4 linked regions of the Alligator mississippiensis genome follow. The protein of the gene in region 2 interacts with the protein of the main gene of each other region in a pairwise test. Links are inferred from orthologs where the notes say so. Each region holds a gene or a part of one and is shown on either strand. Other genes may lie near its edges. The genes, in order: USP13, TRIM63, GMEB1 and MYBPC3.

Region 1 (6,862 bases), on a different chromosome or scaffold from region 2:
TATGGTGTTAATGAGATCTACTATAAAAATAAAATTTGCCATTCAAGGGCCAGAATAAAACACTGGCAAAGCAGCTGGTTTTAAACAAATCTGCAGGGACTTGTGTTATAGTGACAAATGCAGTACTAGGTGTCAAACAAGGAGGACAAGAGGGTATAAGGAAATATTATGTAAGGTTGTAAATTATGGGGGGAAATAGTTACTTCCCAGGTTGAAAATGCAACCAGCAAACCACCAGATAAGAAACCCAAGAGGGTATTTTGGTAAGGGTTCTCATTTGTTTTAATGCTCCAGAATCAAATCTACCTTCCTCTTCCAAAGACAGAATAGACATCTAGCCCAATGCTGCAGCTCCCCGGGGTATCGCAAGATCCTTTCAACGGTGCCACACACCTCATGCAGAAAGCAGAGCTGGACCGAGGAGTGGCGATGGCAGGAGCAGGCCCTCCTGTCCGCATCAGGCTTATTAGCTGAACCTAGGATAAACTGAGCAGCATCCTGGTTGAGAAACGCTATTGTTGCACTGTCTCCGCTCAACTCAGATAAGCTTATCAGATAAACCTAGGGTAGGCAGAAGCGCTGAGGTCCTGTTACTGCTGCTTCCCAGCCAGGGGTTATGCTCCACATAAGGGGAGCCTTCAGCTGGCAGCAGCAGCACCCCAATGAGAACCACCAAGGTAAACTGAGGCAGCACAACGGTGGCTTTTAACGGTGGTGCCACTAAATTCAGAAACCTTCTGAAGGGGCGCCCTGAATTTAAAAGGGCTGAGAACCACTGGCCCAGGCAAAACCCAATACACAGTCGTTCATGTGTGCCAACCTGCAAGAACACGTTACCAAACCAATTTAATATGAAGTATGGTGCGGGAAACATCTTCCATTAACTATGACACACGTGTACACTTAGCTCACACATTTACATTGTGGAGAAAGCAATGAAGTGTTGTCGTTTTCAAATGTGTACATGGCTTTACGGGGTGCGTTAGCTCAAACAGGTTTGATGACTAGAGTCAGAGCTAGGTTTAGAAATAATACCAGTGAGCACTGTCCTAATCACCCAACCCTCCAATACAAGAGAGGACACTGGAATAAATCTTCTGCCCAAAGGCACTGAGGACTGGCACTGGACAACAGATACTAAGCCCAATTGGGCTCTCACTGCAGCTGCATGGGTACAAGCAACTTCAGCATTTGGCCACTCTGTATTTACAAACTTGTATGAAGAAGGAGTCTTATCATGGCACAATGTAAGATTGGTCTAAGCATTGGCCTAGTGGCTCCCACTGAACGCAAGAGGACTTGGGCACTCGGAAACTATACCTCTATATTCCACTTACATATGTTTTTCTGTTAATATTCAGTCACCTGATCTCTTTTTTTCCATTTCATTCGTAATTTAGCAGCTTTGCCTGTCAGTTAACACAAACTTTTTACCACAATGTCTCGGAGGTCTTGACAGGTTACTAGATCCATTAATTACATGCTAGATCAAACAGAAAAGTAGCAAGGGAACACTGCATCACATTGATTTCTGTTCCCTCCACTCCCATTAAATATGTAATAATTCATTTCTTTGTTGTAGCATCTGATCTGGCCTTTTTCGACATCCCAAAGCAGAGAGGGCTGCTGGTGACACTTGAGATCTCAAGTGTATGGGTAAAAATAACCTGTCCTCAACAAGACATGATGAACACCAGACAGCTGAGTCACCTCTGAAACCCATTTGGATTCCCCAAATTAAAGTGAAATATCAAAGCAAAAAAAAAAAATACGAATTGAGTTAAAAATCAGAATCGCGCAAACATCTGAAAACTCAGGATTACAGATGTTGTGCTTCTTTTTGATTTCTCTCTGGCATATTGGGCAGGGGGCTGGACTCGATGATCTTCCGAAGTCCCTTCCAGCCCTAATGTCTATGAAATGACACTTTAACTTGATGTCAATGCACAGTACTCACCTTACTTATGGAAAACTATATTAGAAGCACATTCAACTTCAGTGGATTTAAAACAGCCTTTCACTTCCCTTACCTATCATCTAAGTGGAAGGATTTGATGCCTCACTGTTGATGTTTATAAGCAATGAAGAGAATAGCCAAGACCCCAGATCCTGCAACCGAACCCAAAGAAGTATGTTGTTTTACATGGGCGCAAGTCTCTACATGGATCCAATTGCAATATCAGGGCCCAACGAACATGTGATAGCATCGGAGGCCGCACACACCAAGCAGAGACCTGACAGCCAACTACACAAAAAAGGGATAAAAAATGCGACTCTCCTGCGGGTTATAGCGATGCCCCTGTACAAAACGGAAGAGGTAAATCTCAGGTAGGGCCGGGGGTTTTTTAAGTGACCGGACATTTACACCGAAGGCCACACTACGGAGCATCCCGCTGACACAAAATACATGAATGGGGACGCTCGCTGCCCGTCGCCAGCTCTGCAGGAACGCAAAAACCCAGCAGCGACGCGCAGAGCCGAGGGCCCCTGGCAAACTGCCCCGAGCCCCCTCCAAAAACCGCCACACCGGCGCCCGCTCGGTGGCTTCGCTTGCTCGGGGAGGACAAGGAGGAGAGAAGAACCGGGGGGCACTAGTCCACCGCCGCCCGGAGCCTGCAAAATCAAACCAACCCCCAGCCTGGGAAACCCAAGGCCTAGTGCCAGCTGTGAAGGGGGGGCAGCGAGCGGGGGATCCCCCCACTTGCCCTTTGCAATGCCCCTAGGAGCGGAGGAGCCCTGGCTTGCCCTGCGGCGAAGGGAGGGGGGTCGCACTCACGGGCGAGTCGTAGGAGAAGGCGCACTCCGCCTTGTAGACGCGGTCGCCGGCCTTGGGCACGCGGATCGTGGGCATGTAGGGCACCAGCATCTCGCCCAGGTCCGCCGCCGCCATCTGCGCATCCCGCCCGCCGCCCAGGAGCGCGGCGCGCTGCATGCTCCCGCCCGGCCCCGCGCCCGCGCCCGCAGCCCGCGCCGCGCCGCGCCGAGCCGAGCCGAGCCGGGCCGGGCGGGGGAAGGGGGGCCGCGAGGGCGGCTGCTATTTTTAATCCAATGGCAGCAGGAGCCGCACCAGCTGCCGGGCCGGGGGCGGGGAGGTGCCCGCCGGGCCAAGCCGGAGTGACACCCGATTCCGTGCCCCGCCCGCTGCAGCGCCGAGCACCGCCCGCCTGTGTCCAGCCCCGCGCCCGGCTCTAGGCCGCAGCTCCTGCGGGCTCGGGCAGGAAGGGGGAGAGGGCTTGCTCCCCTTTGCCCCGGGGGAGAGGCATCTCTGGCCTGGGTGGCTCCTGGGGTGCCGTTGTCTCCCCCCAAAACTAGGGGACAATCCCACCTCTGCCCGGGCCAGGGGAAAAGGGCAGACCAGGGTCAAGGCGATCCCTTTTAGCACACCGACTCAAAAGAGGTGGAAATGCTCTTGTGGCCAGGCTCCGAAAGCTGTTCTTAGCTGCGCCGCCCGCGTCCTAAAATGAACTTTCCCTGCAGCCAGATCCATGCACCCTCCGCGTCCGCGTATTGAAATGATCCATGTACCGCTGAAATGATCTGAGCGGAGGCCGTTGAACCCGCAGGATCGCAGGCGGATCGTGATGAGACCCCTTCTCGGCTTTAGAGGGCTTCGCAGCGCGCGCCGCCGCATCAGATCTCGCCTGGGGGAATTTCGGCCAAATCACAAGACCCAGAATAAAGATTTCTCCCCCCCCCGCACCCCTCCTGGATCTTGGACACTGTTTTACAACCAACTCGTTGTCTCGGGACTGTGCTCAACTGCAGAGATTTCCTAAGGCAGTGGTTCTCACGCAGGATGCCATGGCACCCTGGGGTGCCCCAAGACCCTTTCAAGGGTGCTCCGGGGCTGCCACGCAATGTTAGTGCTGTTAGGTGTGAAAACCACGTTTCACGAGATAAAGCCAGAGATTTCAACTAGGAATCTGGAGTGTTAAAAACATTCCTACTTGTTGTGGCCTTTACGAGTTATTTGCAACAGGAGAATTGCTGGGGGGGGGTTTCTGTAGGAAAAAATTTGAGAGAAAAATAAGAGTTACTGTTTTCTGAGGAGTGCTTTGAGTCGAAAAAAACCGAGAACCACTGGTCTAAGGTATTATTATAATCTATTTGTTGAATAGACTCCAAGCTATATCATGGTCAAACTGCGGCAGGTGTTGGATGACCCGACAGAGGACATGCAGGAAGCCTGCGGCACTGCTAGGGTATGAACCCAGACTTCCTGAGTCACAGGGTAGTGGTCTAGTCCAAAACCATATTTCCTTTTCTCTGGTTCATTTATGTTCTTCTCATGTTGGAAGGGATGTTGATGGGCTAAAGGATAGGGGGACTCTGAAGATAATAACAGGAGTGGAAAGAAGTGACTAGTGACAAATTGAAAAAAAAATCTGAAAAATGTATCTAATTATTTCAGGGATTTTTACAATTTGACACGAGTCACTTCTTTCTGCTCTGGTCTACAAAGATACACGATGGATAGACCATTACGTGACTCCTGCTGCTGTTACATACAGTTTACACTGAGGCCCTTAAAGTGCAAGCAAAGTGTTTACATCAAGGGATGAAGAAACAGAACTGTGAAATGCTTCGTGTGGAAGCAGCGCTTAGGGTGAAATGCTTAATTTATAGCCTTTTAAGAAAGTTAGCCCTTGTAGCATTGGAAATTGTGTGTTAAATCCTGAGGGCATTGTATAAACTCAGTAGAATTACTCTGGACCAGTGATCCCCTACCTTGCTTGCTCATTGGCAACAACACTGAGCAAGCAGCATGTTGCATGTTGCTCCTGCTGTTAACTTTAAACTTTTCAACTTCCTATGGGTGCAAGTAACATCTTCTCTGTGAGCCAGTGGAGACCACTGCTCAGGACTTACCCGAGAGCAGCATCTGTCCTGGTAGCAAAGGATCTGTTAGGTATTGGAGAAAGAGTCGAGGGTTCCGATAGAGGGATTTCTTTCAAACTGGAAAGGCTCATGAGCACATAACTCCTCTCTTGCTAATAACACAGCATAATGGAATGATATGAACAGAAGCCACTTAACCTGCAGGAAGATAACTGGCAGATCACAAAGAGCTTGCTCTAAAGACCCCGTTGGTTTTAGTGGGCTTTACAGCATTTGGCTGCAACAGAAAAAACAAACGAGGTTGTACTTATTTGAAATAGTCTATGAAGCATGGAAGAAAGAAGGTTATTATCATGAAAAGGGAATGAAAGAGGGTCACTTCTACTTCTGTTGGTAAAAAAGGATCAGAAACCCACCGGTCAGTAATCTAGATTCAATGTGTAGCGATCAGACCCTGAGGAAATGCTACCCCCTAGCGGGAAGAATAATGCCTGCCAGGCTAAAAAAAAAAAAAGCCGCTTAACAGTAAGTACACTTTACAGTCATTTAAACTTGTGCAGTGCATCTGCGCCTCTGTACAATTCTGAAAATGTAAGATGGTGCAAGCACGTGTGCCCTTACGGTGCCAGAGTATATTTTTACAATTTAAAACAGCGATTGTTGCCCTAGGGTGTCACATCAGAAGGATGGAGTGATGACCATCCATCATTGCACTGGGCACTAACACAGAAAGGTTGACACACAATACAGCCGCTAGCATATCTGAGACATTATTGGATTATCTATAATAATTTTTATCACCCTGCCATCTGAGCACAAAAAAAGAATTGTCCTTATGCCCAGCTCTTACAAATTCTGACCTATTTAAAATTATCTTTGCTGAAGAACATTTCCCTCTTTAACATCACTCAAATCTGCCCTTTGATGTTCGGTAAAAAAAGAAAAGAAACAAACTAATCGCACAACACCCACCCTTATTATCAGCATTGTAACAGGAAACTCCATGCTTCAGTTTTAGATATGAACTTATTTAACCTTTAGTTAAGGCATAATCTATATTCACTTATTGAATTTTCTCATTAGATGGTTGCTTGAATAAGACCTAAATGTAATTTTGGATTACAGTCTGCTTTTACATGCCACAAAGTGTTCCCCAATTACTTTTAGGCAAACTAGACGAAAAGTATAAAGCTTTTATTGCTTCGTAAATGTTTACATTTTTAATTAAAATAATTAGTTATGTTCTTCAGGGATCCAATATGCTGAATATTTTAATCCATAAATACCCAGATTTGACTTGCTGTTTTTTGGGTATGTAGAGTAAAACAACACTGCATGTATTATGCTCTTGTTTGGGCTAATTTAGCACATGGGGAACAATCAGAAATATTCCTGAATGCTTTTTTTAAAACAGATGTTTAAAAAATTAATTTAGAAGCTTGCCTAATCAAGCATCCAACAGTGTTGCACATTTGAATTATCAATTAGGTTTTTAAAATACGAGATGCTGCATAGGTAGCTCATTATCTTGCACAATTCTTGTTAATAGAACAAGGGATTCCTAGGTCTCATTTTCAGCTGTGTTCAAATTTGGGCACACCGCTTCCCTTAGTAAGAGTGGATCAATGTCAAGTCCACTGGGCCCGAGTTTGAACTATTAACTGTTGTGTATCAGTACAGTTCCCTGGACCTTGCCGCTTGTTCTTCAGCCATCGTTAAAGCTTTTATGGAAACCTCCATCAACTAGCTTCCTACTTTTCTCTCCTTAGTCCACAGACAGTTCAGTAGAAGTTGGAAGCTTCTCCCTTTTCATATGCTACTAGCATCTTCCTTTTTGCATTAATAAAAGCTGAATAACCTATCCATCATAGGGAATACCCTTAGTTTTAATATTTGCCCATTTGGGTCCTTCAGCATGTGTTGCTTCAAAACCCAGCGTAAGAGTAAAAACCATCGGGGCGGGATTCTTCAAAAGCACCCAAAATGATTTAGGACCATAACCCTCAATAAAGTCAATGAGATT
Region 2 (7,448 bases):
GGAGGGGATGCCCAGAGAGGCAGGTGGGGCACTTTCAGAAGGGCCTGGGCAGACTAGATCCCTGCATCCAAGGCTCTCCAGGTGAGCGCCAGCAGCTGTCAGCATCTCTGCTCATACAGGCCATACCCTCTGCAGCAGAGGTCTGAGCTGCCCCTTGCATAGATGCTCCTCCTGGCTTGCTGGAAAGCTGCTTTCCAGGCACAAAAGGCATCCATGCTGCCCTCAGCACTGCAGGCCTGAATGCACTCGGCTCCTGCAGCAGCGAGTATAACTCCCTGCAGATGAACTATTTCTTGCTGATCGAAGCTATCTGGGGCAAGAAGTTTTGCTCCTAGCCCCAGGACGCAGCAGTTCTGTGACTGGGGAAGTGCCAGGGACCACTGCAGCATGACCAGGCAAGGACTATTCACTGCCTGCTTCATGGACGGCTCTGCTGAGGAGCGGAGCAATGGTTCAGCTGGTCAGCGGCAGAGCCAGGGAGGAGGATGGGGAAAAAGGAAGAAGCCACCCTGACCCCGAACTTCCTCCACTTCAGTCCCCGATCGTGTCAAGTCCTGCAGTCTAAAAGCCCAGAAGCATTTGGTGCTGTTCCTTGCTCCATTGCTTCCAGGAACAAGGCCACACTTGATCCCCTGATCCTTGTGATCTCCTGGGATCGGAGAGCCCTGCCAGCTTCATCATGTGCATTGGGGCCGCGTGGGTCCCAGAGCCAGGACACGGCCTGTTGTTTGTTGTCTTTTATTGCAGGAGAGTTAAGTAACAGGTCTCTGTGGCCAGCTAGGCACGGCACAGCTGTTATTTAGAGCTGTTTCTAGGCTGGCAACCGCTCACATTTCAAAGTGTGAGTCGGGACCTGTGGTTTATGTCTTCTCTGCCTCCCCTTCAAAAAACACCAGCCCAGCAAACGTGTTGCAGTACAGTCCCTTCTTCTTTGGGGGCCTGTGTCAGGGTCTCACCTTCAGGCTGCTCCTAAACCAGCGATTCTCAACCCGGGTACCCCCGAGATCCTTTTGAGGGTGCCCCAGGGCTCGACATGATAAGCACTGTTGGGTGTGCAGTCACCTACACGGGGTTCACACGACAGCCCCAGGGCTCTCCAGAGGGTCACAATCACCCTGCCCCATTGCGATCGGAGATCTTTGCAACAGAATTGCTCTAGTATTTTGCTGTAGTCAAAAATGGAGCGAAAGCCAAGAGCTAGCATTTTCCAAGTAGGGTGGGCTGGGGCCTAGAGAGGTTGGGAAGCACTGACCTAGATGATAGCTGCTTGGAAGGGAAAGCTTTGGGGAAAGGCTGAAATCTCAGCCATGCATGAAGCAGTTTCTGGATTTGGTATCAGCCCCTGAGGAGCTGGGGAGCCAGCTGTAGGCCAGGCGAAGCTTGCCAAAGCAGCCTAGCATGAGGATGTCAGGGAAAAGGGTGAAGCCACATGGTGAGCACGAGCATCAAACATGTTAGCAGAATGCATTTCCATGCTGAAGTGGCTGCCATTAAGGCTGGTGCTTCCCCCTTCTGCAGCACCTACTACCTGGGCATCTCCAAGTGCTTGGACAGCCCAGCATAAAACCATGAAGTAGTCTGACCAACATCGCACCGAGCTGAAGCAGAGGCCAGTTCCCCCAGCTGCTCCACTATTTCGACAGGCAGCCAGGATCCAAGCCCGCCCTGGCAATCCAGTGGCAGTGAGAGGCATGGACACCATGCTTGGGAGAGGTGCCACCTCGGAGAGGTTTTGCTGCAGGATCAGGCCACGCTGAAGTGCTGGAAACTGAAATGCAACTCAGGGGCCCTCAGCATGTGGGCTGCTGCCAGGAGCACAGGGCACAGCTGGGGGACTCAAGCAGCCTGTGTCTGCTGCACATGAAGGTCAAGGCCCTTTGTCCACCAGTCCATCCTCCCCAGTGCCCATCCAGCCCTGCCCTGCACCCCTACACCACTGCACTTCAGCCACCACCTGCTCCCTTTCCAGCCAGGGGCTTGCTGAGGGTGCCGTGGGGGGCACTGTGCATTGCAACGCAAGGCTGCATGCAGGGCTCTCCCTTCGCACGCAAAGCAGAGGGCCCATCTCCTTCAAGAAGCTTCGCTGCCTGACCTACCTCTGAGGACTTATAGGCACTGGCTGGCAGGCTCCCACCCCTCCTCACACTGCAGGCTTTGCCTGAGAGAATTTGCACTTCCCAGCCATCAGCCGCTGTCTGTCACTCCTGACTCATCAGCAGCTCTATATGGAGGGCATTAAAGCCCAGTGCCCAGCCCAGAGAAACTGCCCAGGTCAGCTCTTCCTGCCAGGCCTCTGAGCTGCTGCTTATACTCACGAAACCTCCTGATCCAGCTCCATGAAGCAACAAACAGAGAAGGAGTTAAGGAAACTCATATTAAGGAATAACATGAATGCAGGGGAAATACCTAGATCTCGTGTTTTCTGCATGAGAATGCTATTCTTTCCTCCCTTAAAAGCATCTCATCACAACACCTACCTGCTGCAACCTGAAGTGACCCATCTGACACAGCTGAATCCTAATCAGTGAATCCTGCTGGTAGCTAAACTCATTAGTTCTAGATCAGGCAGTTTAGACCCAAGTAAATGAAGGTAATATGCAGTAGCTGCCTTGGAAATGGAGCGAGTCTGAAGGACTAGTCTAGTGTGAAATTGGTTAACTAATTGTGGATAAAACTGATTAAGAAGGCTGGATGGGCTGCTCTGGCTTGGGCAATACTAATCAGCTTCAGGCTGGCTGCCTGGAAGAGACTAGTTGTGTCACTAATTAGCTCTGGCTAGATTAGTCAAGTCTATAGGATGTGCTAATCAGTGCTGGACAGACGATCAATTAATCTGGGTGAGATCTGAAGGGAGTTGATTAATCCAGCCTGAAATTAATAACAACCTTCCATCAAGGAGAGGAAACCTAAAATGAACTAAATGGCTGAATAGGTTCAGAACGAATCTCTGACGACTCAGCCCTGCCACCCTGGGCTTTTTATCCAAGCAAATCTGCATTAAATAATGCTAGCACCGCTCATCGCCTGCAGCCCACACACCAGACCCATCCCCGATCCAGTTTCACACAGCTCCACCTCTGCACGAACCCGCTCGCAGCGGGGAAGAGAGAGAAACCGCAGGCTGGAAAGCAGAATCCAAGGATCCATGTATTAGCCGGAGGATGGGAGCACTGGAGCTTTTCCTATCAAGCTCCTGGGCCTTTATCAGAGGCACTGGCTCAACAGGGGAGCCAAGGGAGTTGAATGAATCTCCGACTGCCCAGGCTTCCAGAATGGGAGCAGAGATCCACGGTGTTTCTCCTCCCCTCCCACTGCTTTCCCCTTTTATTAGCTTGTGCCAAAGCAAATCATTTCATATCAATTTTCAAACAGCTGGCAGCACGGACTGTGTAGCAGGGCGTCCCTGCTGGCCACTGTAAGGCGCTGCCGCCCTGCCAGCGCCAATTCAGAACCTGAGCACAGCGAAGGACAGTCTGAACCCACCTGGGGAAAAAGCGGGGAGCTAGAAACGAACAGCCAGGGAGCCGACCAAGCACAGGATCAAAGTCCTGAACCTTGGGGCTCTGGTTTTTTTACTGCAGGAAGCGTACAGAGAGAACTTGGACCTCAAGGGCCAGTCTGTATCCACCTGTCCCCTACCTGTAACAGGAGGGGGAGCAATTCGGGGAGGAGCTCATCACCTCCGTCTCCCTGGCCCTGCTACAGCATAAATCAGTCAAGCTCATTTTCTTGCTGTGGGTCTGGAATTGCTTGCAGAGGTATAAAGCTGGGCTCCCCACCTCCAACTCAAAGTGCATTGGAGTGCTTTTCATAATGACCTAAAGCCAAAGGCTCGGGTCTACAGCTAGATTTCAAGCCCATGCTTTTAGCTTTCTTTGGGATGCCAGGTCCCACCCACAGTGTAGGTACAGATCCAGAGCCCCTGCCTCTCAGGGAGCCAGACACTGTAAGGTTACAAGGCACAGACCACTGTGAGCATCTAATATGAACTTCCACCTAACACAGGCCTGAGTAATTCCTGTATTGAGCCACTCTTCTTGCAGCTGAACTGGTTCAGAAGAGAGGCCTGAGGCTAGACTCATGCTGGCTGGCTGCATTTGATTTGGATCCATGGGGGGAAAAAAGGATTGAGCAAACAGACACTTTAAATTAATTATCCAGGGTGAAGGTTTCCCCTTATTAAACCACGTGGGTATCTGTGTAAAGCAGGGCAGACGGCTGGATGTGGTGGAAGGCCTCACCCCATGGATTCTCACTTGATGCAGTCACTGGGAAAATCACCTGCAAGATCTGTTTTTCTTCCAGAGTTTCACATGGCTCCAGAGATTGGCCAGGGAAGCCTTCACCTCCGTTGCAAGATCAAATGCAGCCCAGCTCAGAGCAGCTGTCAGTCCTGGTTCATGGGTCCATGCAGGGCTCATTGCATTTCCCAAGTAACAGGTATCCATGTCACTGGAGTCAGACCCAGGATAGGAGTGAATGGGCCATGAATCCTCTCCCAGGTCTGCTATCAAGACAGAAGGGTTTGTGCAGCACACAGCGAAGAAGCCCTGCACTGGTACTGCCAGTGCCCACCTGGATCCGCTCCATCAGCCAACAGAGGGTCTGTGTCCAGAGACGCTGGTGCTGTCCCTTGCACAGACCAAAATATTCGTTACGGTCTCAGTGACAGGTTTCAGGCCAGCCTGGCAGTGCCAGGCATCATCCCTGCTAGACTGAAGCTCTGCACCGAATAGAGCGCTCCCACTGGGCCTGATTTCTGGCAGGACCCCAGAGACGGTCTGTCTCTGTCCTGCCTCCAGAAGCGCTTGCCAATCTGTGCTGTAGCCCAGACACCACAACACGACCTCTAGTGCCCCAATCCCAGATTATTTACCCCCGGCCAGAGGATAGCTGCTGTGACTATTCTCAGCCCCATGCCCTTAACTGAGGACTCGCGGGCCTGGCACATCTCCCTATGCCAGCCTGAAAAGAAAAGCTGTGGCTTAATCACAGCCCACCCCAGCAGCTAAATAAACCAATGACCCAGGAGCCAAAAAGCTGGGAAGGCGTCGGCAGATCCCAAGCACGTGCTTGCACATACATGCAAATTATGGTGTAGTAATGATGATGCTAATGCCCTGCAATAAGTATATTTTAAGCCAAAGCCCTGCAGGATAAAGACTGCTCTCATCCCCGTTCTGTCGAAGTGAAGAGGACAGAATCAGGGCCTGCTTTTCTGCTCAGCCCATCTGCTTGTCCCATGGACCCATCCTGAGCAAGGCTTGGGATTTTCAGCTCAGTCACCTGATGGGCGGTGGGGGCTTGCTGCTTGGGCTGTGGTCTGTTATGTTCTTCCCAGCCTGAGTTTTCCTACCACGCTTACACAAATGACAAAAGAGATGGGTTTATTTCAATGGTGATGTGCACGGGGGTGCATGCGAGCCCCCTGAGAATGCCAGTGCACCCCCTGATCGGTCACGCTTGCCACTTAGGTGATGGGTGGGGGGCAGGCAGGAATGCCGGTGCCCCCTCTACAAGTGCTGGCTGATTGCTGCAGCCGCTCCTAGAAGCGGCCACGGCCACCCCTGGAAGTAGCTGCGATTGACTGCAGGGGACCCTCCCCCAGGCATCAAGACTGGTTGCAGGGGGGGCACATGCCCCTCCAGACTAAGGCGGCACCAGTCACCCATGGTCTATTTGAATGCCCACTTTATGGAAATGGAAGACTCCTCCCTAGCTTGTTCCTGCGGCTGTACGGTTGAGGGCAAGCGAAACTCGAGGGCATCTGAACCCCAAGCCTCCGGGCGTGGGCCTACGCGTAGGATACCCACCAAAGGATTTGGAAACATCTGCAGCCCCTGGTGGGGTGGAAGATGTTTGCCGGTAGTAGGGCCACTTATGGTCCTTGACTGACTCACGGATTTGGAATTGATTTGGCTGATTTGGCTTGGAACACTAAAAAATGTCTTTACAAAAAAGATGGGTCTATTTGAAGTCAAAGCAAGTAGAAGCCGCCTCCCCTGAGACTGCCTCGATACGTGGCAGGCCCTTGGCTAATTCCCGTATCCAGAACTACTGCATAACTCCCAGGGACCAAGCATGAAACTGAACTGATTGAGCTGTTCCCCCCCCCCCAACAGCAGCCAGATCTTTTGGGTAATTTAGGGACCCCATTAAGGGCTCAATTAGCCGCTAGATGTCACTGCAACTTCACTCAAGGAATTTGACCCGGCTAAAGAGACATCATCCATTTATAATTCAATCTTATGGGAAGATCATCACTTATCATCTACTTCTATTTACTACGGTAACAAGGAACAGTGGATAGCTCCAGTCCTGTAAAGATTTATGCACGTTCTTCACTTAACACCTGTTGGTCAAATATCTGAAGCATTTGCAGTGTGTTGTCTTGATAGTAAGGATAAGCGTATAGTTTATAAAGGTGTACTAGATGTTAGAAGTGTGCTAGCACTACGGATTGTATGCATTACAGACTGGCATTAAGCTCATCAGTAGAAAGGGTTATAGCTGAACTACTCGCGAGCAATCCATTACAATTGGTTAAACGCTAATTATAGTATCCACTTAAACTTTTAAATGGTTTCTTAGGTAACTCGCCACCATACGGTGGCCTCCATTATCAAGCATACAACCCACAGCGAACCAGGCAGCAGGTTTAAAACAAACGCTGGGAAGCACTTTCTTACACAAGGCATGAAGAAGCTGGGGGAAGCGTTGCCGCAAGATCTGGGGGAAGCCAACGGTATCACCAGCCAGGTCAGAACTGAGCTCAGACTGACGCTGGAGGATGGATCTGTCAGGGGCTATGAAGCCCAAGGGCCAGAGAGCCAGTACACTTCTGGGGCTGGGAGGGTAGGACGGGGTGAATCATTCTACCCTGGTTCATAAACTCTTCTTTTAAAGCATCTGTTATCTGCCACTGTCGGAGACCGGGCCTTGGGCTCGCTGGTCTGGTGTTCTTCCGGTTTCGTTCACCCCCTGCGGCAGGATGGCGTACAGAAAGCTGTGCAGAGCACAGTTTAGCGCGGGATTGAAGATGCCCCCACTACAGCACATGCTCTCCTCTTCTCTCAGCCCCACCAAGCACGGACGCTGCCCGACAGCGGTTCCTCGGGGTTTAGCACATAAACCTGCGGTACAAGAGACTCGCTGTCTCAGCCGGACCGTCCTGCTTTCTCCTAAGAGCGTGGGGGTAGCTCCATCCAGGGAATGCAGATCGCCACCCACGCGGCCTTCCAGACTGCGTCCTGGAGAGGGGACCGGACCTGCAGCCGTGCCCCCTGTCCGGAGGAAGAGAGGGCCCAGGCTCAGCCGTCAGAAAGGGCTGTTTCTTGGCCAAGCTGCTTTCTTCCTCCCTTCCGGCCTGGGCTGGGACAGGATCTCAGACTAGGGAGATGTGATGCCCAGCTCAGGCAGAGCAAGAACCAGCCTAGATCTAGACCAGG
Region 3 (7,370 bases), about 6.8 Mb from region 2:
GACAGCACCAGAAAAGAACTAAAACCTCCAAACTTGCTGTTTGTACCATCTCAGGTGCCAGAATGAAAGAGCAACAATTTCTGGGTTTATTGCCAATCATCCCGAAGCTATTAACATGTGACTAGACTAGCACAAGCTGAGAGGCACAGTCTCAATCTGAAGGTGAATGAAGGGAAGAACTAGTTACCACAGGAAGAGTAGGGATATTGGGCTTTTGCTGAAGGAAATAAGCAGACTGCAGAGAACAACTTCCATCTTACCAATCAAGTTTTGGGAATGTTTAATCTGGAATCACAAAGATACAGTAAAACACACTGAACCATACATACCGCAGATGAAACACAAAATGAAACTGCCTGTAGTGTCTGGTTTCTGGACCAATCATTGCAAAAAACTTGCCAGCTAGGTCAGAGTTAGTGTACACAGGTTGAGTTTTGGCGACAGATGCAGGAGTGCAGAGAGAGTGGGTTTTAAGATGACGTCACTTTATTTTCCCCTAGTTGCAAGATTCCTAACAGGTATTCTGATGATATTGTCTTTTCCTATCAGTAAAATACTTGGCCCAGACCATTTCTGCTGCATGTAAGTAGTAGCATAGGCCTTCATAGAAAAAACTGATAAAGGAAAGTGTTTTGCTGAAAACACCTTTGGTATTGGCTGCGCTTGACTGGAATTTTCTCCAGGGCTCACACAGAAAAATATAAACATAATTTGATTAGCAAACGAACTGATTTTGTTTCATTGTCCTTGCCTTGAACAATTATGGAGAGAGGAAAACAAATTACATCATGTGTATATCGTGGTCCAGGCTTTAATTCAATCTTCCACAAATTTGTCCCAGTCTGGTTGGCTTTCCCCCTGGTCTTCTACAGTCTTATCATGCATGACCTAAGAGTCTTCTCCTTTGCAAGCACTGACACATGGAACAGCTTCCACAAAGGCCTCTACATCATTAACTCTCCCCAGGAACGATGCAGCTGGAGAGACCCATGCTGACATTAATGGATTGCTGGAGGCAGGGTTTTTTCCGTGACAGATCTCCAGCTGCGGCATTTCTTGCTAGGAGAGAGTAAGCCAAGACTAAGCCAAATCCATTTAGGCCCAAATGTAATGCACAACTGAAAAAACATACACCCCTGCTTCAAAAAACCAGATTAGTCATTTCAAATTGATACAGTGTCTTTGGATCAATATAACCCGACTACAAATCTGCAGGTGGCCACCAACTAGTGGCCCACCATGGTGGGGCCCGTCAAGATGCTCAACACAGACCTGCTCAAAAATGCATCAGTATCTAATCAGCCCCAGCTGTGAGGGCCTTATGGCTGAGGGCAAGCAAAACTTGGGGACATCTGAACCGCAAGCCTCTGGGCTTGGGCCTGCAAGTAGGATGCCTGCCAAAGGTTTTGGAAACATCTGAAGCCCCAGTTGTGGGTGGAGGATGTTTGCTGGTAGTAGGGCCACTTATGGTTCTGGACTCTTGGATTTGGAATTAGTTTTTGGGTAATTTGGCCTTGGATACAAATTAAAAAAAAAATTTAATCAGCCCCAGGTTGGTCCTCTTTTGCTGTCAAGCTTTTTGTTGTCTCGGTTGGTCTTATATGTATCTAGGGGAGATGAAGCCTGAAAGATCTTGTATGAGGGAATTCCAGCTTTATGGTTTATCAAAGTCTCTAGGACAGGGGTGGCCAACCTGCGGCTCCGGAGCCACAGGCGGCTCCTTAAATCTTTGCATAAGCGCACGACGTGACGTGACGTGACGGCTCTGGGAGCTGGTCACCGCACGCCTGTGCAAAGATTCGAGGAGACACATACTAACTTCTGAAGAGCCGCAGGTGGCTCTGGAGCTGCAGACTGGCCACCCCTGCCCTAGGATCAGACACAACCAGGAAGAGCCATCCTTTTGAGGACACATCTTGGGTAAGGTTTCCCAATGCATCCGAATTCACTTGCTTTGGCAACTGGCAGAAGTACACCTGCAATCCCTGCTCAGCACCGTAAGAGCCTGAGGATCAGCATCATCCGAAGACAGGGATTTTTATGTGACCGCAACACACGCAGATTCGGTCCCAGGGGGATGCGACGGCTCGGTTCACCTACGGCACGTCCGAGTCCGTACTCTCCCGATCGCCACGTTCGGAAGCTTTTCGGGCCGGCTGACGAAACTCAGCAGAACCCGCTCCCATCGTCTCACGAGCTGCTCTCCCGCCTCGCTGCGCAGAAGTGAAAACGCCTCGTGCACCTGCACCTCTCCACGCGCAAACCCGCCACGTTCGCCTTCCCCTAACTCCGCTGGGGACGGCATCCCTTGGACTCCCTGCGGTGGGGGCGACAGGGGGCTGGACCCTTCCTCCATCCCACACCTGACGGACGTGCTCCTACACTCATCCCCGTGCCGAGGGAGTCGGTGGCTCGTTCCCCTGGTGTTAGCAACCCTTTGCTTCTCCTCTGTGGTCTGGGCGCCCCCCAGCCCAGCACCTCTGTGCTCTGCCCGGCTCCTGCACCCAGCCCGTGCCCAGGCTGGTGACCTGCGGGCTTCGGCAAGGCCCCGCTGCCCCTCATGGCACCCCCAGCAGGCATTGGGGGCGGGGCGCCGAGGGAATGGGGGACGCCGCCCCCCCGCGGCGCGCAGCAGCCAATGGGAGGGGCTCCCCGGAGGGAGAGGCGTGGCCTCCCTGCTCCCGCCCCTCCCCCTCGCGCTAGGCGGGCGGGCGGACGCAGTCGACTCAGCCCCCCCCCTCCTCCTCCTCCTCTTCCCCCCCCGCAGCGGCGCGACGTCCGCTCTCCCGGCGGCGGCACGTACGCGGCGACGCGCTCTGGGGCGCCCCCTCCCCCTGCGGCCGGACCACCCCCCCCGCAAGCTCCGCGTCCGGGCCTGGCCCCTCCCGGCTCCCGTAGCGCGGCAGCCTCCGTCTCTTACCGTCTCCGAACGCCCGAGTCCGGGGCTGGGGGAGGGGAAGAGTGAGCATGCGCAGCAGCCGCGACAGCTCTCCCGCCAGCACTTCCGGCCGCCGCCTGCCTTAAAGGGGCCGCGGAGCAGGGGCTCCTGCCCGCCCGGGCTGGGTGCTCAGTGCTGCCATCTAGCGGCCGGGGTGGCACGAGGGTCTGCACCCCACCGTGGGGCTCTCCTCCCGCCTGCTGTGCCACCCCTTGCTGCGCTCTGCCGCTGCGGTCCCCCGGGTTTTGGCTTCCCTCCGCAGCTGGATGGCATGTGCTAGGCCCCAGGCACAGCAGGAAAGCGTTTGATTGCTGCTCAACTGGAGCAAGATGCGCGTTTCATACCATGGATCCCCTGCCTCACACCATTTTTTATTTCAATTTTACTTTGCCCTGTGCAGGAAACTTATTCACAAGTTGAAGAAAGAACAACGTTTTTAGTAACTCCCTCCGCCCCTCCCAAAAATAAAAAAAATATTGCAAAATTTTGGAGCCCCCTAAAGTGTGGGGCCCTGGGCGGTCGCCCGGTTTGCCCTCCAGCAAGGCGGCTACTGCCTCCGGGATGGGTGGCGGTAGCCCCAGGGCATGCACAACGGGGACGTTCCTGGCATCTGATGAAGTAGGCCCGCGTCTACAAAAGCTTATACCTTACATAGACTCCTATGAAGTTAGGGATGGAAGGGACCTGAATAGTCTGGACGATGCCGCCCTGCCCTGGCTTGGTGCAAACTAACACGCCTAACCGCTCCTCTCGCCGTTTGGACAGTGAGACCAGTTCCTGCCCTTATAAAAAAGGCTTTCTCCTTTTCTTTTGTGCTGCCTCGCTTCATTTTGGCAGCTGGGTTACGTGGATTAAAAGTCAGGCAACACATTTGGTCCCAGGGCTGCGGAAAGTGGCAGAAACCAGTGCACATGGACTGGCCTCTGGCTGCTTTGCCCCTCCATCCAGGAAGAGAGCAGACCATCTGCAGACGCTTCCTCAGCCTGACGGAGGGTGTTTGTGCCTGAAAGCTTGCTAAAATGAATGTTTCCAACTTTTTTAGTTGGTCTAATACAAGATACAGGATTTACCCAAAGAACTTTGTCTGCTTCTGTCCTTAGACTAACACGGCTACAACCTACACCCCAGAAACCAGTCAAGGCTTTTCCTGAAAATATAGATCCATGTTGTTGTACTGCCCGTGAGCACACGATGGCGCCAAGGGCTAGGCCTGTTGGTGTGATGATCCTGGTGCCAGGCCAAGCCTCTGTCCAAGCAGAGTTGAGTTCTGCTCAGTTGATATGACTTGGAACTGATTCTGGCTGATTTGACCTGGAACACAAAATATATTAATACAAACAAAATCTATCCAAGTAGAGAATTTTGCAGCCGATAGCTAGTGAACCTGGGAGCTGCTGTTTCAATAGATGTGAAGCACTAAATACTGAATACGAGGGGGTGGGAGCAGGGGAGGGTGAAATTTTGATTTCCCAGTTTTTGATCTTTTTTAAAAAGGTGCCAGATTCTGGACATTTTTTCTGGTTTAAATTTTACTCTGCTTCTATCACGGAAGAGAGAAAGAGATATTAGCATGAGAAACAGTAGAAGAAATTGGTGCTGGTGCAGAGGATCGGTGCCACACTTACACCGTGCATTGGAGGCGCACAGGGGACAGAATGCAGGCAGATGCACAGGCAGAGAGCCACCACCCTGACTAGTGCAATCCATGTATCCGTGCTGGCCCTGCATACCTGCCTTGGGTATATGAGGGCAATGTGAACTTTACCCATAACTGATCAGAGGTGGCTCTAGAAAGAGGACCTAGGATTCCTTTGATAGCTGAAGTGTTACTGGAATAAGCAAATAAACCCTGACTCAAGCTTTTTTATGTGAAGGGGACACAAATCAGTAGGGAATCTCTTCTTTTGCACAGACAATCTGCAAGGGGCAGTCATCACTATGATCCTTCAAGAATGAGCTAGGCCCGTGTGCCACTGAACCCTTCCCTACTCCCATCTGACAAAAAGCTAGGCTGTGTATCTAGCTGTGCTGCAGACTCTTGTGGGCCATTTCAGGCAAGTTATTTGGTCACAAATTTTGAGTAGTTCCAATTTTTGGGTACCTTGACTTTCAGCAATGTGGTGCCCTCACTGCTTCCATTTACTTTCAAAGGCTTGTGTATGCTCAGAAGCTTTAAAATTCGGGTTTCAGATGTCTCACACTGAGTTCCCAATAGCAGGGCCATGCAAAAGCAGTGCCACACAATAGAAGGCAGTGCTAGAATCAGGATTAGGACTCAGTACATCTGCACGAGACGCTACTGCATGGTAGCAATGAGCTACCATGCAGTAGTGTTGGCAGGCACTAACTGTGTGGCGATGATGTTGTGCAGTAGTTACAAGCTCATTGCTACTGTGCAGTAGCATCTGAAAAAAAGCAATGTGGCGATGGTACTGTGCAGTAATGCCTGTCACTGCACAGTAGATGTAGTACTTGCTTATGCATCCACACAATCTGCTGCTTGTGTGGATGTGGCCAGAGCTTCCCAGTTCCCAATCACATGCTTCAGGCCCTGGCCCCCTCAGACTTCCACAGTGTGTCTTTTATCCCTCTTTCACTAAAGCACTGTATCTGTGTGTTGCCAATGCTCTTTGCAGGCTGCAGACGTCTCGATGAGGTGTGTACTGGGATGGAAAGGCACCATTGCTTTCTTGGTGGAGGCATAGGCTTCGGTTGCAAAATTTGGACTTGGATCCCGGTGCCTTCCCAAAGGTGGTTGGGCAAGAGAGCATAACAGAACAGTTACCACTGACTGCATCAGATCCAGTCTGCTTTGCCCAGTCTCCTGTGCCACATAGGGGCAGACAGCAGCGGCTGAAAGGGAGAGCCAACTGGGTCTGGCTTTTCCCCACTGCTCCTCTCTCACTTGCAGCCTCCAGCACTGACGGTCTAGGGAAGTTCTTACTTGGCAGGGAAAACACCGTGACCACCAAGGTGGTTTTCTGTAAGCACACCCAGGGAAAACTGCTCTGCTGGCATGGGGGTAGTGGTGTATAGTTAACCTTAGCTTTATGCCAACTTGATGGAAATGGGAGACACCTCCCTGGCTTGCTCCTGGCACCTTATGGCTAAGCTCAAGCAAAACTCGGGAGCCCCCAAGCCTCCCGGCCTGGGCCTGCACGTAGGATGCCCGCCAAAGGACTTGGAAACATCTGAAGCCCCAGGGGGGGTGGAGGATGTCTGCGGGTAGTAGGGCCACTCACGGTTCTCGACTGAGTCACGGATTTGGAATGGATTTGGCTAACTTGACTTGGAACGTGAACAATGTTCATTACCAAAAAAAAAAAGATTCTGATTCAGATGCCTGCCCCTCTCCCCCGCGCTCAGTAGCTCCTGATGCCCCTTTCCTCCATCCCTTGGGTGGCATCCCTGCCATCCTCAGCCCTTGGGGATGCCCTAGGAGGCGGTGTCGGTGTGGGAGGCTTCTAGTTGAAACCGCAGCCCCAGGTCCTCTTCCAGCGCTGCCCCTCGCCCGCACCTGCCCCGGCCCCGCACGCGGGGCAGCCTCTCCGCCCGGTGACTGGCAGGTCCCGGGGCCAGTGGCGGGGGAAGGGTCGGCGCCTCCCGCCGATAGGCGGGGACGGGGGTGGGACGGCAGCGCGGTTCCCAGCCTGGCCGCGGCGCCCGGGGCTGCAGAGCTGCGGGGCCGGAGCCTCCCGGGGCGGCGGCGATGCGCTCCCGGCTGCGGGCGCCTCTGCTGCTGCTGCAGCTGTTCCAGCTGTTGGGGCCCCTGGCCAGGGGGCAGGCAGGTAAGTCCCAGCCCTGGTCCCGAGTCGGTCTCCCCGGGGGCGGGCGGGCCAAGGGGAGCTGTCCCGGGCAGGGGCGCAGGTGGGTGCGGAGGAGCCGGCTATGCTGTGCTGTCCTGGGCGGCCGCCTTCTCCCAGCGGCGTTTCTCGTGCCATGGCTCGCGCGAGGCCTTTTGGCAACCCAAGGGTGCTTTGCCCTAGAGAAGTCAGGGAGCCGAGACAAATGCCTGGGGTGGGGTAGCAGCACTTGCTTCGGAGACCTGCGCGCGTGTGACCGTGTCATTAGAGATGAACACGGAGGGCGAGGTGGCTTGATGGAGCTGTTTCTCAAAAGCGCTCCTCCTGCCTCCACCAGGAGTTTTGTCCGTTCCTGGTGGAGCGTGCGATGTGCGCAGTAATGTGCCCAGGCTAGGATACAAAGGGGTGACTTCCCATACATTGTGTGCAAAACTCTTGGTTCAGAAATTATACCTTTTATTAGACAAGTATCCTCAAGTCTAACTCGATTGTTTCGGATGCTGCTTTTGCCAGAGGCTTGGTGGTAGCATGTTTATGAATTACAAGCTAGACAAGGACACACAGGACTGGATCCTGTGACTCTCTCGGTTCTTACAGCTGTGTACAGCACAGAGCAGTTTATCTTGCAC
Region 4 (7,594 bases), on a different chromosome or scaffold from region 2:
ATTTATATTCTTCATTATTCTGTATCAAAATGCCCTGAAGTATTGAAACACAATGAAATGGAGAACTGGCAGCACTATTATTTCTTGAGACTGCAGGGATTCTTTTCAGGAATTATCTGACAGATTTGGATTAGGTTTTCTATAAATGAATTAGGCATTGGACCTTTCCTTTTCCCCTTCCCCTCCCCTCCCATCCCCCTTCTGCCCTGGGATTAATCACAGTTTTTGTACCGTCTCTGTCTAAGCCAATGATTCTCAACCAGGGTGCTGCAGGGTGTCACTGTTAGATGTACAAATGCCTATATGATTCACAAGATAAACCCAAGATTTCAAATAAAACTATGGTGTCAAAAATATTTTGACCTGCTGTGTTCTTTTAGAATTCTTTCCAACAGAAGAATTGCTCTATTTTTTTTCCATAGTCAAAAAATAAGTTAATGCCAGTAGATATTAGGCAGCATTTTCTGAGGGGTGCCTTGAATCTAACAGGGTGTGCCTTGAGTCTAAAAAGGTTTAGAACCACTGGCCAGAGATAAGAGCCACACAGAGTTACAGCCATGAAATAGCTCAGAGAGTCAAATAAGATTGGAAATAATGTGTGTGTTCTTCTTCCACATTAAGTGGCAGAGCTGGGTAGCCTTACAGCAAGACAGAGGGTCAAGTGTCTCCTACCTCAGAACATTAATCCATATACAGGATTTAGTGATTATGGTGAAAAGTACTTTAAAATTCAGAAATGGATTTGCTCAGCCAAAGGCATGATGAAGTCTGATAATTCTGAAGCTATGCAACCTCGGAGAGGAGACTATGGCAAGTATTGCTTGTCATCATGTTTCTCTTTCTCATTATTGCCTATTCTAAGCATTTGGAAAGCATAAGGCAGGTATCAAAAAGATTTGACATTGCCTAAAAATCATAAGATTTTTAAAATAATAAAATTGGGGAGTATTTTTATCTTTTGGTTTTCTTGAGACTTTAGGATTTATATTTTTAAGCTTGTCTCTTCAGCCCTGAGGGCTGGAAATGTGCTTATTTTGTAAAAGAGAGCCAGAATTTCATGGTCACCTGACTCCAGTCATTTGACTTTCAAGAAAAACACCAAATACTTTACAACATGATAAAATTGCAAGAGTTGGCAACAGTGCTTTCCTTTCAGAGACATAGTGAAAGAGGAACTTAGAAAATCTCATTTAAGTAATCCAGTAGTTAAGTGTTTTGCAGTTCTGTAGAGCAAACCTAGGTTTGAGTCATATCCTGCCTTCTGCAGTAGCTAATACCAAGTATTCCAACCAAAAGTGAAAGCCCTTCTTAAATCATTCAGTATCCATTATTCAGTGTCAACCATGTTAGAGGAATGTCAGATCACAAGGAATCTGGTGGAACCCACAAGAAGCATACTTCCTCCATGAAGAAGACGACCAGGGGCCTTGCTTAAGTTCACATAGGATGTCAGTGGCAAGGCAGGGCAGGGAATGGAATCAGGGTCCCTCAGGTTTCAGGCTAGGACCTCTAACAATGGGCCATCCTTCCTTTCACCTTCTTAATAAAGGTAAGCAATTTGGCAACTGTGGGCATGATGGAAAAAAATCCTCCCTAGCTATTATAACAGCAGATGTATGCCAATTCAGGGCTTTATTAAAGGGTACCAAGGCATACAGCATCTGAGAAACACCAGTCACATGCTACTGACCCCCTGTGAAGTGCTTGTTTTTAAACAGTATCTAACATGCACACTCCAGCACAAACACACCTGTGGAGCGCATCAAGGGACCATACTCAAGGGTCAGGAACACTGGATTTATACCAATGTCGCTGAGATGAGACTAGCTCTAAAAGTCAAGGTGCACTCTCAGCCTTAGTACTATTTTCTGCTGCATGTTCCCAGTACACAATTTGCAAACAGATACAACTTTAACTTTTAATACCTATTTTTCTAAATTTAATTATGAACTCAGAGTTTTCAAATATCCCTCTTTCTCTCCCCTCTCATAGACAGCAACCTTCACTTACCTCTATCTTTTATGGGTCTCCTCTTCCTTGCACAGACAGATTCCCTGCAATTTCCACCTCCTTCCCATACCACCTATCACTCTCTTCCTCCATGCATAGACAGGTGGCCTGTGACTAACTGCTTGGTTCTCAGGAATGTCCTAAATCTCATCTCAGTTCCCTTCCACATGTTTCACTCTGGGGGGGAGGGGAGGGGGAGGTTGAACTCCCTCCTTAATTGTGGTAGAGTCTGTTTTGACCTTGGTTTTTGTAGATGACTAGTTATCTGCAGGTTCAGAGGTAGAGGAGGTCAAGAAGGGAGTATGTATAAAATCTACAGCATACCCTCTATTTCTTCAGAGCTGGGGTGTACTTACTTGCCAGAATTACACAACTGAGTCTCTGAGAGACAGTAAATATTAATCAGATGCTTTGAAGCTTCTCTTCACAGTGGAAATTTCGCACCCAAAAATTTTACTGGAAAATACCCAGAAAAAGGACTGGGAGTTACTTCTACTCCCCAGAAAATTCCCGGGAGAGAGAATGCACATTTTTACTGGCGAAGTTGCCTAGTAGAGAAACTGAGCGGTGATAAGATTTTGAGAACAAAATAATTTAATTTTTGTTCTTTCCCTTTACTCAAAGCCTCTGGAATGAATTCTGTACCATAGGTTTTCAGAGACAATAATTACTCATTTTCCTGGGGTAGAATCTAGCTCTTTTTTTTAGATTAACTTTACAAGGTACTTTCTCCTTATTATTTTCCCCCAAATACTTTGTCGCTGGCTAAAAATATCTGTTATTTGTTTTTTCAATTACAATGGAGCTAAGCTGTCTCACTTCTGTAGTACAAGGAGATCGTCTCTGCTTGGAAATCACTCTTTCAGTCAGACTGTGCTCCACCTCTTTTTGCCTCTTAGTTGTGGTCCTTACCTGCTTTCTTCGAAGGCTCTGGCATCTTGAACTTTTGTCTCTTGAAGCTCCCAGTAGTGCCTAGAAACCAAGATGCGTGCTAAACTGGAATGAGACTGAAAGACTTTTGAGACCCCACTAAAGAAATCCTGCTCCTCCCCCTTGACCCCTCACTCTTGTCATCAATTGCACCTTATCAAGAGCAGGGCACACTTGACAGCATGTTTCAGCCAGGATAAATATAGCCAAGTTCCAGGAACCAGAGAGCTCAAACCACCCAGGACTGGTTGCTGGTGCAAACTCCAAACCCAAGACTGATGCTGCACATACATACATGTATTCTAGTCTTTAGGCCATTTTTGTAATTATTGTGTAGTTTTTTTAAAATGATCCTTTCCTACATTTAGCTCTTGTCAGTAGTTGTGTCAGTCCTGAACCATCCTTCAAGCCAGAGTTTAATGGTTGATTATTCTCAGGTGTGAAATGCTGGGTCACTAGATCTGATTCTGGACTTTCAAGGGGAAACCAGTTACTCCACCCTGTTTTAAAGTTTTGACTTTCCTCTCAAGCCTACTTTTTAAATAGTTTCTGCTATATAAGTATCTTTGGAGATGAAAATCTTATTTCCCCCCAAGTCTCATATAAAAACGTAGCATGAGCGAGCAAGACATATACTCGAGATCACATTTTGCTGAACACTGTATAGAAGTTCTTGGGAATCCTCCCCAGAAAGCTTGGGACTGCACTTCGTGCTCCAAGCATTGCTGTTTGTTTATGTGTTTTTTTGGCACAAGTAAAAGTAACGACCATGCAAAATAACTTTGATGACTTTGCTTTTATGGTTTTCCTGGCCTTGTTGTCTACTTTTCTCATTTTACTTGTGGGCTTTTTGGAGCAGAACCTGTTTGTGCACAGGATCCAGCACATTATAGAATAGAAATAATAAAAATTGAAATGGCAAAAAATGATTTTTTGTTATTATTTTGATTGTTCCCACTTGCATAGGCCTCAATTTTCAAAGGACTTCTGCTGTAGACTTCTGAGAGGAAGCTCTGGTTAGTCTGTTGCCTTCTTGGTCCACCATGTAGATAGAATACTGATGACAAGTAGTGTTAAGTGGGTGTATTTAGTAGCCATGTTGGTCTGAGACAAATTTTAGCCGATTTTGGATTTAAACTTCATTGCTGAACAACAAGAAAGATTCTACACCTCTCAGCCCTTCTGCCATCTGACACCACCAGGGAAGGAATCCTGCCTTATCTACACATCAAAGAGCAACTCCCAAAGGCACTCTCTTTGACCCAGAGGAACAGACTTCCACCTTCAGCTTCCTCTGTGCAAAAGGGGACCAAGTGCTTGCACTGGCCAGGCCAGAAGGTGGGGGCACTTCCTCATGCCTCCTAGCGTACAGGACATTGCCAAGGGCAGCCTAGCCCAGCTAAGTGGGGCCATCCCTGATTGGCTGTCAGATACATGCCCCCAACCCCCTGCTGTCACCACAGACCCTCTGGTGCACCCAACCCTAGGCTCCCAGCACTGGTTGCCATGGCAGCCCCAGAGGGGGGCAGGCGGGGAGGATGGAGCCCTCTGCCCCTGCCCCCCACCAGCTGGGATTTACACAGCCTGGGGGCTCCCTGCAGTGGGGGCTTCTCCCCCTACATATCCTGGCCCACTGCCTCATCCCAGCCCTGCCCCCATGCCAGACCTGGTCTCTCAGTTTTGGACCTGGGGCAGAGGACTCTGTTCCCAAATGACAAATTTGGGTTGATTTGCATGTGAGATGATTGATTTAGGGACTCAGTCACACACAAAAGGCTGCATCCTTGTCAAATGCAAAATATGGGGGCACTGTAAGATGGCCACACAATTTTAACCTGGAAAGAACAATATACGTTTCCTTAGTCTTTTCTTGGAAGTGGCTGAACTGCTGTAGCTAAGTTTTGACCCCTTCTTCCCTTCCCTTCCCTTCCCCTGCACTGCCCCCCCGCCCCCCCACCATCCTAAAAAAAAAAAGTAGCCTGAGGAAGATAGTTGGCATGTAAGAATTCTGCCTAAATGATTACATTTTGGCAAAGCTACAAGCAACTGGGCGCATCTACACATGTAATTAATGCGGAGCAATAAACTCTGGCACTTATTGCAGCAGGGTTTATTGCTCCTGGGCATGCCATTTACATGTGTACCCAGAAGCACAGCATGTTCAGCCAGGTCAGAGTAGCCTTGACTGGCAGGGGGTCCTGGGGATCAGCCTGCCAGCCTGGGACTGCTCTGACCCAGCGCAATGCACTGCAGAGGGGCTGGCTGGGGCATGAGGGTGCTCCAGTGTGGGGCTAGCTGGTAGGCAGCCCCTGCACTGAAGCACCCTTGTGCCTCAGCCAGCTCCATCCCCATCTCCATGTGTAGTGCTGCAGAGTAAAAAAAAGTCTACGTCAGGAATTGTGGAATAATTGTGAAGTTAATTAGTTTCCTCTACACTGCATGTGTAGATGTGAGATGTTTACTGCAGAGGCAACTAGAGTAAATGTCTCCTGTAGACATGCCCACTGAAAACAAGAATTGTTCTCAAGTTTTCGATTGGCAATGCTACCAATGCAGGTTACTACCAACTCTTTCTATAAATAATAAATCCTAAGGTTTCAGAGCAAAAGTCAAGTACTGTTTAGTGTTAGGACAAGACATCACACAAACTGTTATTGCAAAAATTTTAATATAATTTTGTTGTAAAGTATCTGGCATAAACATGGTCTACTAATCTAAACTGATTTAGGAATCCTGTGAGTGAAAAGAGGGGACTTGCCATTCCCTTTTATTCATTGCTCTGGAAGATTTCTGATTAGATTAATTACATTTTGCCTCCCTAAATCCTTGCTTTACTTTCATGTGAACAGCAGGATTCTTCCTTCATTGGTTTCTTCCTATAGGGTATTTATACACATGCATAAGCCTCAGTGGCGCATGCTTTGAAAAGTACACAACGCTGTGGTGCATGCAGTTGTATAACCCGTTAACGGTGCATGCCCATCAACGCTGAGAAAATGGTGGTGGTGCGCTTTTGCACTAAGACGCATCGGAGGTGCTTTGGTTCAAAAGTGAACCACCATCATTTTCTGTGCATGGATGCACATTTCACCACTTACACAAATGCACACACCACAGCACAGTGCGTGTCAGCTTGCATGCAGAGCAGACTCAATTAATTGAATCTGCTCTGACCCACTGGATCTCCGGTGGGTCCCTGCACAAAAATGTACGCGTATAAATTTTCTAGCACTGCTGTTCCGTATTAATAGCTATTGAAAACCAGGCTAGAAATGTCTCTATTTGCATGACAAGTGAAACAATCCTTATAATACAGTTAATTCACAAACCACTTTTGGTATTAAAGGCACTTTATAATTATAAATAAACGTAAGGCAATATACAACATTCTAGAAAAAATGTATAATTATTATCACTGCAATGCTGCCACCTGGTAGCCAGCAGTGTAATAGCAGGGAAAATATTAATTGGTATCAGCAAGTTTTTCCCCTGGCTTGAAGAAAGAAATATGCCAAGGAACATATTCCTTTCCAAATGTGGAATGCAATTATTTCCACGTATCAGGTCAGTCATTCTTGTGACTGTATTTGACAATGGTGATGGGATCAATTGATACTTTTCACTGTCAAGCTTAATTCTAAATCTGGGACACAATGTGGAAAAACAACCTGTGAAGTTTCTATATAGCAAAATATTTAAATTAAGTAGATGCCTAATTTTAAGCATATGAGTAGTCACAATGAAGTCTGTTTTAAGTTAGATATCCACTTAACTACTTACTGAATTAGGGCTTAATGAAGTGAATGGAATGGATTCAATAAAGCTCTGAGCACGAGAGCCAAACAATAACATTGCACTGTCCAAGCCTATTAAAGGATTCTCTACACAAGAGGATAAACTATTCACAACAACTGAAAATGATAAACCAGATAAAATGAGGAATGGTTATTGAAAAAGAGAAATATCTGGAGCTAGAGGTGTACCAATACATTGGTCCTATATCAGATCAGGACCAATATAGGGAAAATTGAAAGCATCGGAAATTGGCTTTTTTTGCCTGATGCAGCCGATAAAGTGGCTGATAAATGCCCCATGCACGTGCACAGCTGCGGCATTCATGGGGTCAGAAGCGCAGCCCAGCAGCTTGGAGACCAGCATCTGGCTGGTAAGCCTGGGGTGGAGGAAGGGGTGGGGGGAGGGAAGGGGCATGGAGGGGGGCAGATTGAGGCCCTTGGGGTGCGGGAGGGAGTGGGACTGGGGCAGGTGCTGCTCAGGCAGGGTAGGGAATGGGACGGAGCCATGAGCAGCTCCTCCGGGGGTTGCAGGGGGGATGGGGGGCAGCTTCCGCCACTGCACCCCCCCAGGAGGGCATGCAGGACCATAGATCTGCGCAGGGCAGGGTGAGGCAGGCTGCCACTGTGGGCTGAGTCCAGAGGTTGTGCCGGGCTCTTCCTGGCAAGGGCTGGGTTAAACTGCACTGCACTCCAGGCAGGCGGTGGCAGTACTGAGAGGGAGTGTTGGCAGGACTATGGCAAATTTTGGCGTGGATGCAGTCCCTGTCCCCTCCACATAGCCCTGCTCCCAACGCTCCCTGAGAGCAGTGCAGCCTGGCCCAGCCTTTGCCAGGAAGAGCCCAGCACAGCCCCTGCCCCAG

What was found.
Region 1: the proteins of TRIM63 (region 2) and USP13 interact in a two-hybrid assay, tested with the Homo sapiens proteins (2 studies listed by BioGRID and IntAct). The link is inferred for Alligator mississippiensis from reciprocal best matches to the Homo sapiens genes TRIM63 and USP13.
Region 3: the proteins of TRIM63 (region 2) and GMEB1 interact in a two-hybrid assay, tested with the Homo sapiens proteins (2 studies listed by BioGRID and IntAct). The link is inferred for Alligator mississippiensis from reciprocal best matches to the Homo sapiens genes TRIM63 and GMEB1.
Region 4: the proteins of TRIM63 (region 2) and MYBPC3 interact in a two-hybrid assay, tested with the Homo sapiens proteins (2 studies listed by BioGRID and IntAct). The link is inferred for Alligator mississippiensis from reciprocal best matches to the Homo sapiens genes TRIM63 and MYBPC3.

Annotation. Positions count from the first base shown.
Region 1 is NC_081830.1:80,510,031-80,516,892, reverse strand, and holds the start of USP13 (ubiquitin carboxyl-terminal hydrolase 13), read right to left. Parts: upstream 3,021-6,862; 5' UTR 2,933-3,020; coding exon 2,777-2,932; intron 1-2,776. UniProt on the Homo sapiens protein: Deubiquitinase that mediates deubiquitination of target proteins such as BECN1, MITF, SKP2 and USP10 and is involved in various processes such as autophagy, endoplasmic reticulum-associated degradation (ERAD), cell cycle progression or DNA damage response.
Region 2 is NC_081829.1:3,277,117-3,284,564, reverse strand, and holds the start of TRIM63 (E3 ubiquitin-protein ligase TRIM63), read right to left. Parts: upstream 3,021-7,448; 5' UTR 1-3,020. UniProt on the Homo sapiens protein: E3 ubiquitin ligase. Mediates the ubiquitination and subsequent proteasomal degradation of CKM, GMEB1 and HIBADH.
Region 3 is NC_081829.1:10,106,602-10,113,971, forward strand, and holds the start of GMEB1 (glucocorticoid modulatory element-binding protein 1), read right to left. Parts: upstream 3,010-7,370; 5' UTR 2,921-3,009; intron 2,658-2,920; exon of another isoform or gene 330-2,657; intron 1-329. Other genes in the region: discoidin, CUB and LCCL domain-containing protein 1-like, read left to right, coding at 6,648-6,726. UniProt on the Homo sapiens protein: Trans-acting factor that binds to glucocorticoid modulatory elements (GME) present in the TAT (tyrosine aminotransferase) promoter and increases sensitivity to low concentrations of glucocorticoids. Also binds to the transferrin receptor promoter.
Region 4 is NC_081825.1:228,230,820-228,238,413, forward strand, and holds the start of MYBPC3 (myosin-binding protein C, cardiac-type), read right to left. Parts: upstream 3,021-7,594; 5' UTR 2,948-3,020; coding exon 2,923-2,947; intron 1-2,922. UniProt on the Homo sapiens protein: Thick filament-associated protein located in the crossbridge region of vertebrate striated muscle a bands. In vitro it binds MHC, F-actin and native thin filaments, and modifies the activity of actin-activated myosin ATPase.